Anolis sagrei: one gene and its partner. The protein of the gene in region 2 interacts with the protein of the main gene of each other region in a pairwise test. Links are inferred from orthologs where the notes say so. Each region holds a gene or a part of one and is shown on either strand. Other genes may lie near its edges.

The links.
Region 1: the proteins of SDCBP2 (region 2) and PTMS interact in a two-hybrid assay, tested with the Homo sapiens proteins (2 studies listed by BioGRID and IntAct). The two-hybrid records come from large-scale screens. The link is inferred for Anolis sagrei from reciprocal best matches to the Homo sapiens genes SDCBP2 and PTMS.

What each region holds. Positions count from the first base shown.
Region 1 is NC_090022.1:197,813,443-197,820,809, forward strand, and holds the start of PTMS (parathymosin), read left to right. Parts: upstream 1-4,352; 5' UTR 4,353-4,496; coding exon 4,497-4,547; intron 4,548-7,367.
Region 2 is NC_090024.1:241,426,536-241,434,208, reverse strand, and holds the start of SDCBP2 (syntenin-2), read left to right. Parts: upstream 1-4,635; 5' UTR 4,636-4,794; intron 4,795-7,213; 5' UTR 7,214-7,238; coding exon 7,239-7,292; intron 7,293-7,673.

The DNA of each region.
Region 1 (7,367 bases), on a different chromosome or scaffold from region 2:
AAAAATGGCTTGTTGTAAAAACAAGGCTTGATGATAAAGCTTCAATGGAGGAGACACTATTCCCCCTCCTGAGGAGTTTCCTTTTTGAGGAGATGGATAGATAGATGCTGGAATTACACTTAAGAATATACATGTTCCGACTTACATGCAAAGTCAACTTAAGAACAAACCTACAGAACCTATCTTGTGTGAGACATGGGGACTGCCTGCATGTTTGGCCTTAGAGTAACCTTTAAGTCTGCACAATAAATGTTTTGGAAACAGCAAAGCTCTTGTGTGATCTACGAGAATAAAGCATCTCTCTAATAGAAACATGAACAATGCTGAAAAGAACCTGACAGTCCCTCTATGAAGATGCAGGCAGCAATGTAAATATTTGGGGTTTTTTCCTGTATAGCTGATCAGTTCACCTTGAAATGAATTATGTCCACATATGATTTAACTTTTTACTTGAAATTCATTTGTTTGAAAGAGTGGTTGTTTTTTTCTGGCTGTGTGGAAATAATGTCCTTGGTTTGACCACAAATGCTTTTTCAGTTGAAGAGTTCCTTGTGCTGCCAAGCAAAGGGTATTATGAAGATAAGCCATCTCCCTCCTTCTTCTTAATGGCTTATTTATTTTCCTATGAGGAGGGAAGCATATAGGCATATCCTTTTCATTGTGAGCTGCTTTGAGTCTCTGTATGGTTGACAGACTCAATTGAATGGTTGGCAGTTCCAATCCGGGGAGCGGAGTGAGCACCCGCTGTTAGGCCCAGCTTCTGCCAGTCTAGCAGTTTGAAAACATGCAAATGTGAGCAGATCAATAGGTATTGCTTCTGTGGGAAAGTAACAGTGCTCCATGCAATCATGCTAGCCAAACAACCTTGGAGGTGCCTATGAACAATGCCGGCTCTTTGGCTTAGAAATTGAAATGAGCACACACACCCCCACCCAGATCAGACTAAACTTAATGACAGGGTGCCGCTGTCGACAACTAGGGGAGACCTTTACCTTTACTTATAGAGAGAAAAAGTGAGATAATAATAATAATAATAATAATAATAATAATAATAATGTCTCCTATTATGGTAGGTAGTATCAGAGCCCTCTGTAATATTGTCTACTCTGTGAAGGAAGCAACAAGCTTCACCGGACAAGCTTCAGAGTACTTGTGATGCCTGTCCTATGGCTCTTTGGGTGCATTCGCATGAAGGACACATCATTATCATCATCACCATCATATTTCTGTTTCTTTATACCAAGCCTTTTCTGCCCCAAGGAAACTCAAAGCGGATTGCATTAAATAATTAAAAGCATTTCAATACAATTTAAAATACCAGTTTCACCTTAGACTCCAGGGATCAGGGACTCCACATCTATGGCAGGCATCCTCAGAGATTGTGAGTTCTGTTAGAAAATAGGGAAGTGAGGTTTACATATCTGTGGAAAGTCCACTGAAATCCACAAGCGTGGACAATTTCAACAAAAAGGAGGAAACCATGAAAATGAACAAAATCTGGCTACCAGTATTAAAAAAAAACCTGTAAAATCAGGACAGTAAATAAAGAGCAATACTAAAAAAAACCCAGAGGAATCCCCAGGCAGCAACCAGCCAGGCTTTGAAGCTGCAAGGCCATTAAATGCTAATCAAGGTGGCCAATTGCAACATTCACAACTTGCCTCAGGCAGACAAGAGTTCTTTCTCCCACCCTGGACATTATTCCAGATATATAAACCTCACTTGCCTAGTTTCCAAAAGACTTCACAACTTCTGAGAATGTTTGTCATAGATGTGGGCAAAACATCAGGAGAGAATGCTTCTGGAACATGGTGATACAGCCCGGAAAACTCACAGGAACCCAGTGAGTTCCTTAATGACAGCATTCAACACACACACACACCAACTTGGTTGCTTCGCTACATTGGCTATTGCTGCAAGTAATGACAATATGAATAAACTGTCAATATTTGCTTGAGATAGTGCTTGCAGTTCTGGAGGGACTCTTAATTTTTTGAATCTCATAGACTTAACATGAGGATTTGGTTAACCAGTTAAAATTCATGAGTAAACCAGGTTTTTTAAAAAATCTGAAACATTTCGGGGAGGGTTTGAACCCCTAAAACCACCCCCTCGCTACAGGCCTGGCTGTGTGGAAGGGTCCTCAAGCCCCTTCCACACAGCTTAATAAAATTCCACATTTTCTGCTTTGAACGGGAATATATAACAGTGTGGACTCAGATAACCCAGTACAAAGCAGATATTGTACTGAGGCATTGAATGTTTGCCGTTTTATTTGCTTGGATTCTGCTCTGAGTCTCCTTGGGGAGATAGGGCAAAATATAAATAAAGCCTCCTTGGGGAGATAGGGCAAAATATAAATAAAACCTACAACAACCCATAAATAAAGTTATTTATTTATTTACTGTATTTGTATACTGCCCCTCTCAGCCCTCAGGCGACTCGAGGCGGTTTACAAGGCAAAATTCAGTGCCACAAAAGTATAAGTACATTTTAAAAACACCGACATAAGTAAAATCATAACAGCAATAAAACATAAGTCATTAATGAATCCTTATTAAAAACATTGTCCAGTCCCATCGTATAGTAGTTCCATTTTTGTGTCAGGAGAGACTTGAGAAACTAAGATTTGAGTAAATAGAGAACTACAGGATCTATCAGTGCTGTGTTACCATCCTGTGGGATGCTTTGAATGCAATTTTCCTGCTTCTTGGCAGGGGATTGGACTGGATGGTCCATGAGGTCTCTTCCAACTCTGTGATTCTATGAGGCTTCTCTCGTGGCCCCGCATGAGAAGCTGAAGCTGACAGATGAGAGCTCACCAGGAGCTCCTATATTGGACTCAGATAACCCAGTTCAAAGCAGATATTGTGAGTTGCTCTGCCTTGATATTCTAGACTAGCCATCCCCTGCCACGCATTGCTGTGGCCCACATGGGGGTTTTGTGTGGGAGGCAGGGGCGGCTCAACCCATTACGCAAAGTAAGCATTTGCAGTATAGTTGATTTTGCCCAGGGGCGCTCTTGAGACGCTCTTGGGGGAAAATAGACCTTGACATATGCGAGTTGTAGTTACTGAGATATATAGTTCACCTACAATCAAAGAGCATTCTGAACTCCACCAGTGATGGAATTGAACCAAATATGGCACACAGAACTCCCATGACGAACAGAAAATATATATCAGTGATTGGTTGGGGGGGGGGGGGGCACCAAAATACTGTTTGCTTACCGTTGAAAATTACCTAGGGCTGCCTCTGGTGGGAGGTTTGGCCCAATTCTATCGTTGGTGGGGTTTGGAATGCTCTCTGATTGTAGGGGAACTATACATCCCAGCAACTGCAACTCCCAAATGTCAAGGTTCTATTTTCCCCAAACTCCACCAGTGTCCACATTTGGGCATATTGAGTCTTCGTGTAGAGTTTGGTCCAGATCCATCATTGTTTGAGTCCACAGTGATCTATGGATGTGGGTGAACTACAACTCCCAAACTCAAGGTCAATGCCCACCAAACCCTTCTAGTGTTTTCTGTTGGTCATGGGAGTTCTGTATGCCAAGACAGGTTCAGTTCCTTCGTTGGTGGAGTTCAGAATGCTCTTTGATTGTATGTGAACTATAAATCCCAGCAACTACAACTCCCAAATGACAACATCAATTTTTTTGAGTGATGGTCATTCCTTGGGTTAGTGGGCGTCTTGTGTCCAAATTTGGTGTCGCTTCCCTCGGTGGTTTTTGAGTTCTGTTAATCCCACAAAGGAACATTACATTTTTATTTATGTAGAAAATTATATGGCTGCGTGGAAGGGCCCTCAAAGCGGCGGCTAACATAACTCATACACCACACCGCCTTGTGCTTGGGCAGCCAGTTGTCGTCCAGTTGGGACACACGCGAACCCGCCCCACGCCTGCTTTCCGGCAAGTGAAGGGAGAGGAGAGCGTAAAAACACGCTGTCCAAGTGCTAGGAGTTAATCTGGATCAAGGGACAGAAGCGGGAGGGGGGTGGGAGGAGGGACAAAGGACAAAGGAGCGGGCGAACAAAGAGGACAAAGCGCAAAGAGGGGCTGAGGGCGCGGATACGGGGTTCCCTCTTTTCCCCCCGCCTCGTTGATCGCGGCTCCTAAAAGGCGCGCAGTTGGTGGCCCTTGCCTCTCCCCTCCTTCTCCTCCTCCTCCTCTCCCTTCATTTCCTCCTTCGGCTCAGGCCCCGCCCTCCTCTATAAATCCTCTTTTTCTTTTTTTTTTTTCTTTCCCCCCTCCCTCGGGAGAAAAAGCGGAGGAAGAACTCGGCTGCGGAGCGCGCGCGCGCCCCCCACTTGGTGCGCGAGAAGGGAGCGCGCGCTTGCCTGCCTGGTGCCGCCCCCTCCCTTTTCCGCGAGCGAACGAGCGAGCGCGCGCCCCTTCCTCCCTCCCTCCCTTTTACTCTCTCTCTCGCGCTCTCTCTCATCCTCTCCGCCGCTGCCTCGTTCGCCTCCCTCCCTTTCCTCTCTGCCGCCTAAGGATGTCGGAGAAGCCCGCCGAAGAGGCTCCGGTGGAGCTCGGGGCAGCCAAGGTGAGACGCCGGACAAAAAAAAAGGACACAAGGGGTGGTCGCTCCCGGTCCGAAGAAAGCGGCGACGAAGAAGAAGAAGAATAGGGAATGAAGAGAAGAGGGGAGGGGGGGGGGAATGAAGAAGAGGGTGGGCGCGCGCGGGCATAGAGAGAGCGAGAGAGCGCGCGAGGGGTGGCTGCGCGCGCACCCCTCTTTTTCTCCCCTCCGTCTCCCCTCTGCCATAGTGGCCCTGGGCCCCGAGTGGCGCGCGGCGTTTGCTTCCGAAGGCCCGCGAGGGCGGGGGCGGGGAGTTGGGGAGTGAGAGCGAGGCACCTGCGGGTCTCCTTTCCTCACACAAAGGGCGCACCCGCCTCTTCCTCCTCCGTCGAGCCCTTTCGACCTGAAACTCAGACCTACCCGCCCTTGGAAGCCTCTAAAGCAGGCCTGGGCCAATTTAGGCCCTCCAGGTGCTTTGGACTTCAACTCCCACCGTTCCTAACAGCCTCAGGCGCCTTCTTTTTTCCCCCTCAGCCGCTTAAGCGGGGAAAGGAAGGGGCCTGAGGCTGTTAGGAACGGTGGGAGTTGAAGTCCAAAGCACCTGGAGGGCCTAAATTGGCCCAGGCCTCCTCTAAAGGCAAGGTCACTCTAGTACTGAAGACCCTCCCCTTCAGGGCTGGAGGAGGCAGCTCTTTTCTCTCTCTCTCTCTTTCCCCCTCCCATTTTCAGGGCTCTGTTCTTGCACAATGTTCGCCTCTTTGCAGAGCAACAAGGGAAATCATTACTGAAACCCTCCCCAGGGCAGCCAGGGACACAGGGATAAAGGTCAGGTGCTGCAGGACACTTGGCCTTGCGCTGACTTCACTGGGTTTGAGCGACCAACCCAAACAAAGACAGCGCGCTTGCGGAAAGCACTCCCAGCCCATCCGCGTGCACACACTCACACAAAACAGATCCTGCGTGCAGTCCTCAGAGACAAGACCTGCTTGCTTTTAGGGCAGTGGTTCTCAACCTGTAGGTCAGTGTTTTCGCCTAAAACTCCTAGAAATCCCAGCCAGCTTACCAGCTCTTAAGATTTTTGGGAGTTGAAGACCAAAACATCTTGGGACCCACAGGCACTGCTGTAGGTCCTCAGATGTTTTGGCCTACAGCTCCCGGAAATCCTAACAGCTGGTAAACTGGTTGGGATTTCTGGGAGTTATTGTTTTAGGGGAAGCATTGTTTTAGGGGAAGTCCCTAAAGAAACCCTTACCCATAAGTAGGGCCCTTCCAGGAGCTCCCAGTGGCGGAGTGGGTTAAACCCCTGTGCTGGCAGGACTGAAGACTGACAGGTCAGAGGTTCGAATCCCAGGAGAGCATGGATGAGCTCCCTCTATCAGCTCCAGCTCCTCATGCGGGGACATGAGAGAAGCCTCCCACAAGGATGATAAAACATCAAAACATCCTGGCATCCTCTGGGTAATGTCCTTGCAGACTACCAATTGTCTCACACCAGAAACAACTTGCAGTTTCTCAAGTTGGTTCTGACAAGACAAAAAAAAAATTCCGTTATGTCAGTGGTTCTCAACCTGTGTTTCCCCAGATGTTTTGGCCTATTAACTCCCAGAAATCCCACCCAGTTTACCAGCTGTTAGGATTTCTGGGAGTCAAAGGCCAAAACATCTGGGGACCCGCAGGTTGAGAACCACTGCCTTACATCCTTAGATGAGTGAGTTTGCTTTAGGTTTTGCATTCCACGCTAATCCTGGGCAGTTTTTATATTTATTTACTCTATTTATATCCTGCCTTTCTCTACCCCAAAGGGGACTCATTGGGGCTTTACATATGGCAACTATTCAATGCCTTTGGACAACAAACACTTAGAATACACTTAAGTTAAAAAATTAAAATTACATGCACATCAAAACATATAAAACATTGCATTCACTATTAAAATCACAGCATCGTCAATTAAAAACCAAGGCCATTCAAAGATCAATTACACATATTTCAAGGCTATTATTGCACTTTAGATAAATCTCCAAAGGCTTGATTCCAGAGCCAGGTTTCCACTTTCTTTGAACCTCGGTGGTGCAATGGGTTAAACTCTTGTGCCGGCAGGACTCCTGATTGACAGGTCAGTGGTTTAAATTCAGGGAGAGCAGGTGAGCTCCTTCTGTCATCTCCAGCTCGCCATGCCAGGACATGAGAGAAGCCTCGCACAAGATGGTAAAAACTAAACATCCGGGTGTCTCCTGGGCAGCGTCCTTCCAGACAGCCAATTCTCTCACATCAGAAGCAACTTGCAGTTTCTCAAGTTGCTCCTGACATGGATAAAACTCAAAACGTTCCTTCTGAAGGCCAGGAGGGAGGGAGCTGCTCTGGGATCAGGGAGCTGTTTTAGGGTTAGGATCATAGTGAACCACTCTACCACATTCCTCTCAAGTTCCTGGAAGAGGGGAAGGGATCTTGAAGGCTGACTTGAAAAGATCCAGAACCACTTCAGTTATGATTCATTGCTTTGGAAAGCCTGGGGAAGGCAATCTGACTGAAGGAATGAATGTTTCTGCTCCTTGAAGACCCTCCTCTCTGAGTAGAATAAGGTTCAGTGCAGAGAATAACCACCAGTGGGAATTCAAACACAAGTGGGACACCGAAAACGGTCCAAGTGAAATGAGGCTGGATATCTAGGCCAGTGTTTCAATCTCCCTCCTGGCAAGCTGGCTTTCAGAGCTGCTTAAAGCAGAAAAAAATGCACAATGCCCTCTAGTGGAAAATGATGAGGTATTGAGTCTTTACAGAGTAATATTTTTGTGTGTGTCAGGAGCGACTTGAGAAACAGCAAGTTGCTTCTGGTGTGAGGAT
Region 2 (7,673 bases):
TAAACATAAACAGACATAAACAACATTTAGCAAATTGCATAAATTCTCTCACTAACATTGTCTTTAACTCAAAGTAAACCTAAACTACAAACAGATATACATAAATTAGGCCCCTTCTACATTGCCATATAAAATCCAGATTATCTGCTTTAAACTGGATTATATGGGAGTGTAGATTCATAGAATCTAGTTCAAAGCAGATAATAGGTATTAGTGAGAAGGAACAACCCAGAACTCCCTGCCTTCAAGCTGATCTGACCTGCAGCAGGGAGTTCCGCAGTTCTCAATTGCCTGCTTGGGACAGCATCCATGGGAATGTGACCACAGCAGCAGCCTCAACCGAAGACTCTCCTTCTGCTTTACTTTCTTTCCCCTAGCTAACATTGTAACAAATCCACCCAATAAAGTATCAATTAATGGTAACTTTTCCCACTCTATAGTGTTACTTTGTGTTCTTTACTGCCTGCAAACAATTCTCTGTATGAACTTTCTCTCTCCCAGGCTGCAGACAGTTGCCGGCCTGCCCGGGATGCGATTCTTGCATTCTGGGGAGGCCGAAACTGCGTTCCTCTGAACCGCAGATACGGAAACCCATCGGGTCCCCGTATCTGTGGGTCAACAGATCGCTCCAAAATCAGTACCATTCTTCTCCTGGGCTAATTTTAAGACTAATGGTTATCTCGCATTTGCTCTGCTAACCTCTCCACCCCAGGAATAACCCTTTTGCCCCCCAAAACTCAACATGGAGCCCAGCTGACTCTCTGCTGCCACCACATCGCTGCCGCCATCTTGTTGATGCCCGAAGAGCCTGTTGACCTGGGGAACCTGCCATGGTCACCCCTTGGGACCCCCGGGAAACCAACGGGCCATCCCGGTCCTTGACGAGATGGGATCTATAGTTTTCTCCACTCTCTGACCTGGATCTCGAGCTCCAGTACTTGCCATCACCTCCAAAGGACCCAATGGACTCTGAGGAACCTTCCTCATTCTGCCCTCATGGATTCTGGAACTTTTTTTGAACTTTGGTCAACTTTTAAAACTTTTGGAAACTTTTTAGAACCCTTTTCTTCCCCAAACCTCATGAATTTCCACTGTACTTTTAGACCTTTTAATGGACTCTTGGTGGGTGGGATGGGTTGATATTAATTCCTTTCTCTCTTTTATGAATGTCTGCCTTATGAACTCCATATATGTGTCTGTATAAAATATGCAATGCCACCGTTTCGTGACCCCAGCAAGCCGAAATCTCAGGAAAATATTTTACATTTCCTGAGAAGGACTTTTCCCTTAATTAAAAGGACTCAACAAAGACTTATTGCATGGACAAAAACAATGGGTACACCTTCAGGCCTCAGCGCATGGCCACCTGAAGGAAGTACCCCATGGAGATGCAACCACTCTTCAACAAAGGAGACATCCTGCCTTCAGGAGGATTTTGGGTGCCCCAACTGCCTCACCCATTATCCTCATACCCTTGGCTGAAACCAAAGACTAGATAACATCAATTGATCCCATACCCAGGACTGGAGGTTACTGGGGCTTGGCATTCATGCCAGCCACTTTTGTATATTTCACCCGCATGAGACAAAACCAGGTTAGCTTGAGATACTTCGGATTATCGCCGGCAATTGGACCAAACATTAAGGTGCATTAATACACTCATCTTTCCTTCTGATTCATTGTTTCCTGCTTGAACCGCCTCCTCGCTCCTCATTGGCTGAGAAGCCGAAGCGGCGCTGGCTTTCCCATTGGCTGAGGCGCACCTAAGCTGGCTGTGCCTCCCCTCCAGCTGATGACGCCAATCAATCAGCTCAAAGCCGGCAAGGGGGGAGGGGAATTTGAATTTGACAGCTCTGTATCTCTATAAAAATGTATCATTCTGTCCTGCCAAGCATGTCAGCTCTGGCAAGGGATTGCAGTTTGACATCCGTACCAGCTGGAACAAAATAAAAGACAACTCGGTGGCTTTTCTTCAGCTTGGTGAGACCTTGATTGGGAAAAATCAGGGAAAATTGTTTGGGGGCTTCTTTCTGTCTTGCCAGGGCAAACGGACTCTCCTTGGTGGGTCTGACTGGTCTCTGCCTCCTGGCAAAGACCCCTAAATTTCTGCTCAATATCATTATTTGCTTTGATAATATGGATTATATGGCAGCGTAGAAGGGGATTTTGCATGATAAATTCAAAGTGTGCCCATATGAGTTTTTCTGAATTGCAGTTCCCAGGATCAAGGCTGGCTGGGGGATTTTGGGGAGTTGCAATCTAACCTCATATGGGGTGCACCTACACTGGAGAATTAATCCAGTTTGAACCCACTTTGAACAGTCATAGCTCAATGGCCTGGTATCATGGGAATTGTAGTTTGGTGAGACCCCAGCATTCTTTATCAGAGAAGCCTGAAGATTTTATGAAATGACCCCTTGCAGGATTCAATAACATTGAGCCATGGCAATCAAAGTGGTGCAGAACTGCATTAATTCTACAGTGTAGATCAGGCATAGGCAAACTTGGGCCCTCCAGGTGTTTTGGACTTCAACTCCCATAATTCCTAACAGCCGGCAGGCTATTAGAAATTGTGGGAATTGAAGTCCATAACACCTGGAGGGCCCAAGTTTGCCCATGCCTGGTGTAGATGCACCCCTTGTCAAACTGGCTTTAGGCCGGGACATGGTACCAAGACAGCCTTGGTCGCCTTAGTGGATGATCTTCGCCGGGAGCTAGACAGGGGGAGTGTGTCCCTGTTGGTTCTGCTGGACCTCTCAGCGGCCTTCGATACCATCGACCATGGTATCCTTCGGGGACGCCTCGCGGGAATGGGCCTTGATGGCACTGTTTTGCAATGGCTCAGGTCCTTCCTAGAGGATCGTACCCAGAAGGTGTTGCTGGGGGACAACTGCTCGACCTCAAAACCATTGTCTTGTGGGGTCCCGCAGGGTTCTATACTGTCCCCCATGTTGTTTAACATCTACATGAAGCCACTGGGGGAGATCATCCGGAGTTTCGGGGTGTGGTGTTATCTGTACGCAGATGATGTCCAACTCTTTTACTCCTTCCCACCTACTACTAAGGAGGCTGTTCAGGTCCTGAACCAGTGCTTGGCCGCTGTATTGGACTGGATGAGGGCTAACAAATTGAAACTGAATCCAGACAAGACAGAGGCACTCCTGGTCAGTCGAAAGGCCGAACAGGGTATAGGGTTAAGCCTGTGTTAGATGGGGTTACACTCCCCCTGAAGACGCAGGTTTGCAGCTTGGGTGTGATCCTGGATTCATCGCTGAGCCTGGAACCCCAAGTTTCGGCGGTGACCAGGGGAGCATTTGCACAACTAAAACTTGTGCACCAGATGCGCCCGTACCTTGGGAAGTCTGACTTGGCCACGGTAGTCCACGCTCTGCTTATATCCCGCATAGATTACTGCAATGCGCTCTACGTGAGGTTGCCTTTGAAGATGGCCCAGAAGCTACAAATGGTACAGCGTGCGGCAGCCAGGTTGCTAACAGGAGCGGCGCTCAGGGAGCATACAACTCCTCTGCTGCATCAGCTCCACTGGCTGCCACTTTGCTACCGGGCACAATTCAAAGTGCTGGCTTTAGCCTATAAAGCCCTAAACGGTTCTGGACCAGGCTACCTATCCGAACGCATCTCTTCCTACGAACCCTCCAGGAAGTTAAGATCATCTGAGGAGGCCCTGCTCTCGATCCCGTCTGCTTCGCAAGCACGCTTGGCGGGGACGAGAGACAGGGCCTTCTCTGTGGCGGCCCCTCGGCTGTGGAACTCCCTGCCTAGGGATATCAGATCAGCCCCTCCCTCCTGACCTTTCGTAAGAGAGTTGAAAGCCTGGCTCTTCGAGCAGGCATTCGGAACCCCGGAATAGTCAAGCTTGAGGTGGAGAATGACCCAGGAACGGCCAGGACAACAAAACGGATGAGGATTGGAATGAGAGGATATAGCTCTTTTTAAATTGTTATTGCACTGTCTCTTTTGTCTAAATGCACTTAATTGTTTTTGCTTTTGTATTGTATTGATGGCATCGAATTGTGCCGATATGTAGACCACCCTGAGTCGCCTGCGGGCTGATATGGGCGGGATATAAGTGATGTAAATATATAAATAAATAAACAAACTACAATTCCCATGATTCCATAGCATTGAGCCAGGGAAATTCAAGTTGTGTCAAGCTCAATTGATTCTGCACCCAAAGAGTCTCACCTAGTATCTCCCAGAACTATACATTCCTTCTTATTTTATTTATTTATTTATTTATTATTTCGTGTACTTCTACCCCGCCCTTCTCAACCCCCGAGAGGGGACTCAGGGTGACTTACAAAAAGGCACAATTTGATGCCTACACAGTAATACAGATAAAATATAGACAGCAATTAAACAGTTTTAACAGTTAAAAACAATTAATATATATATCACAGTCAATAAAAAACCAATCTTATGCTCAACGTTTGCAACATCTAGAATCCTGGGAGTTGTAGTTCTACAAGGTCTCTGGCCTTCTCTGCCAAAGAGAGTGGCACCTCACTGAACCACAACTCTCAGGTTGCCATAGCAGTTGCATCAATTCTCCAGTGTAGATGTAGCCATGGGCAAGCTCTATGCTTTGCTCTTGCACAGGTAAGCCACACCTGAGCCAGGAACCTCCTCCTGACGTCACCCAGACTGTGTTCCTCCTCCACTTCTGGTTTGCTTTGGTCTTTTCACTTCCTTCTCATTCTCCTCCCTGCCATAAAGTCGAAAGAGGACAAAAGTCAACGGCAGAAGCCTTTTCTTTGCAGAAACGTCAGACAGGTAAGTGCTGCTCTCGACTCACCTGGAGGGTGGGGTTGGACAGAATGTCAAGGCAGTGGATACAAAAAAAAAGTGTTTACTTCCTTGCAATGTAAAACCCTGGCATGCTTTGGAAGTCTGTTCCCCGTCTTGTCTGAAAGCTAAGCAGGGACATCCCTGGATGGGATCTGGTTGGGAGGCTGGCAACAAATCTCAGGTGTTCTGTTGAATGCAGTTTGACATCACTCTACCTACCGTGGTTTGGTGCATCTTGTAGTTTGGTGAGGTTGTAGAAATAATGCAGTTTGATATGACTTGAAGTGCCATGGCTCAATGATAGGGAATCATGGGAATGATAGTTTCACAAGACCTTCTGCATTCCTTGTCAAAGAGTTTTGGAGCCTCAGCAAACTACAATTCCCACGATTCCATAGTACTGAGCCATGGAAGCCAAAATGGTGCCAAACTGTATCTATTCTGCAGTGACGATGCATCTTAAGAAGATCCTATGAGATTTGTGTGTTTGCTATAAGTTGACAGGTGTCTTGATTGAGTGGCCTAGCCTTCTTCATAGAGTTATATGTAGAATTTGAGTTCTTTGTGTAGTTGTTAGCCGCTTTGGGTCCCCTTGAAAAAAAAGTAGGACAACAACAACAACAAAAACAACAATTATTTCTTGAGTTTGAATCCCCACTCAGGCAAGTCACACTATCTCAGCCTCAGAAGAAAGCAAAAGCAAGTTTCATCTCAAGGTAGATCCATTCAAAGAAATGCACCTGCACTGCAGAATTATAGTAGTTTGATTTGTCTTTTTCTGCCATAGCACCATTGTATGGCATCTTGGGATCTGTAGTTTGGTGAGGTGTTTTGAATACTTGCAGGTAACGCTGTGATTAAAGGGAGGGAACAAGAGCTCTCCAGGGAACTGCCTCTCAACCTTTGACTCTCCAATGTTTTTCACTCCGACTCTCAGAATTCCAGAAGTATGTGAATCTCTAGGGAATCATGTACTCCAACTCCCAATGCTCTGAGATTCTGAGAGTTGGGAGTGAAAAACATTGGAGACTCCAAGGCTGACTCTGCTTCAACTGCCAGGGCTCAGCACTATGGGATCCTGGGATTTGTAGTTTGTTGGGGCACCAGCGCTCTGTGGCAGAGAAGGCTACAGAGCCTGCGATATTACAACTCCCATGATGCCATTGCATCGTGTCATGGCAGTCAAAGTTGGTTCAAATGGTATTTATTCTACTGTGTAGCTGTGCCCTGTGATCAAAGGCTATCGTTCTCCCGAACTATAACTCCCAATGTATTGTCGAAGGCTATATATAACTCTTAAGATAGCCCAAGAAAAGCGTTTGTGGTCTGAAGGAGGGGATCTTGGGAGATATAGTTCAGGAGAGATCACTACAGTTCAAAGTACATCGTGAAACTATATGTCCCAGGTATCTATGGCAACTAAACAGACAGAGCAAGGAAAGGGGTATCAAATGTCCATAACGTAGTTACATTCCACTCTTCCTTTGACATTCTTAATATATTAATATTCAGCTCATGATTAAGTGGCTAAACAAATAATGAATTGATTTCAATTAATTAATTGATTATACAATTTTAATAATTAATAATTTATAATAAATTAATACTTTACAATAAATGAATTAATTTTATTAATAAATAATTAATAATACAATTTAATATTTGCCTAAGTATTAAGGGCTTTAGTGATTAAGAAGTAGTGTGTGCGAATGTTCAATGTGCCACAACAATCTTTTTGCACCCTCATGCTACAAATCCCGTACTTTCGAAAAGTTAACATCCACAGTTTATTTTTCCCGGGGCACTCATGGAAACTGAAAAGAACATACTTCCTTATGAGTCATACTTTTGTGTTATGCAACGCCTGGTATCTATGTACTGTTGCAGAGAGTGACGAGGCTCACAACCCGTGATCCAAATTGCATTAATTAGCCAGCGTTAGTTAATTCCTATGAGATCACGGGGGAAAACATTATTGGGCAATTGTGTACTATATCTTCACAGTAGAATGAGTATAGATTGACACCACTTGAACAGCCATGGACTCCATGCTATGCAATCCTGGGAGTTGTAGTTTCGTTCCTGACTTCAGAGAAGGCTAGAGACCTTGTAAGACTACAGCTCCCATATTTTCATAGCATTGAACCATGGCGTCTAAAACACTGTCAAACTGCATTAAATCTGCAGTGCAGATGCAACCTCAGTTTTTGTTTATAGTAGCCACTTTGCTGCAATTGATATTGTAGACCAGGTCTGGGCAAACTTTGGCCCTCCAGGTGTTTTGGACTTCAACTCCCACAATTCCTAACAGCCTCAGGCCCTTTCCTTTCCCACCTCTAATGGGATAGCCTTGGGATCTCTTCTAACTCTTCTAATTTTCACCTTGTCCCTTTGTTTTCGACAGGTATATCTTGACAAGAGCAGCAACCATGGCCACCTTGTACCCATCGCTGGAGGACATGAAGGTGGACCAAGTCCTCAAGGTGAGTGCTGTCCTTTCCCTTCGTTTTGTTCTCAGGTGTATTTACACCAGGTATGGGCAAACTTGGGCCCTCCAGGTGTTTTGGACTTCAACTCCCACCATTCCTAACAGCCTACCGGCTGTTAGGAATGGTGGGAGTTGAAGTCCAAAACACCTGGAGGGCCCAAACTTGCTCATGCCTGAGCTAGCCAGACATTGTTGGGAGTTGCAAAGGGTAGTTCTGTCAGTGAAGGGTTCAAATAAACATACAAACACCTGTGAATTATTACTTCCTTTCACATCCTCCCAGAGCTGCACATGGGACTAAACATCTCTGAAGGCAGTTAACCAAACCAAAATAGTGCAGAGTCTTCATCTGTAGTTAGCAGAGATTTATAGCATC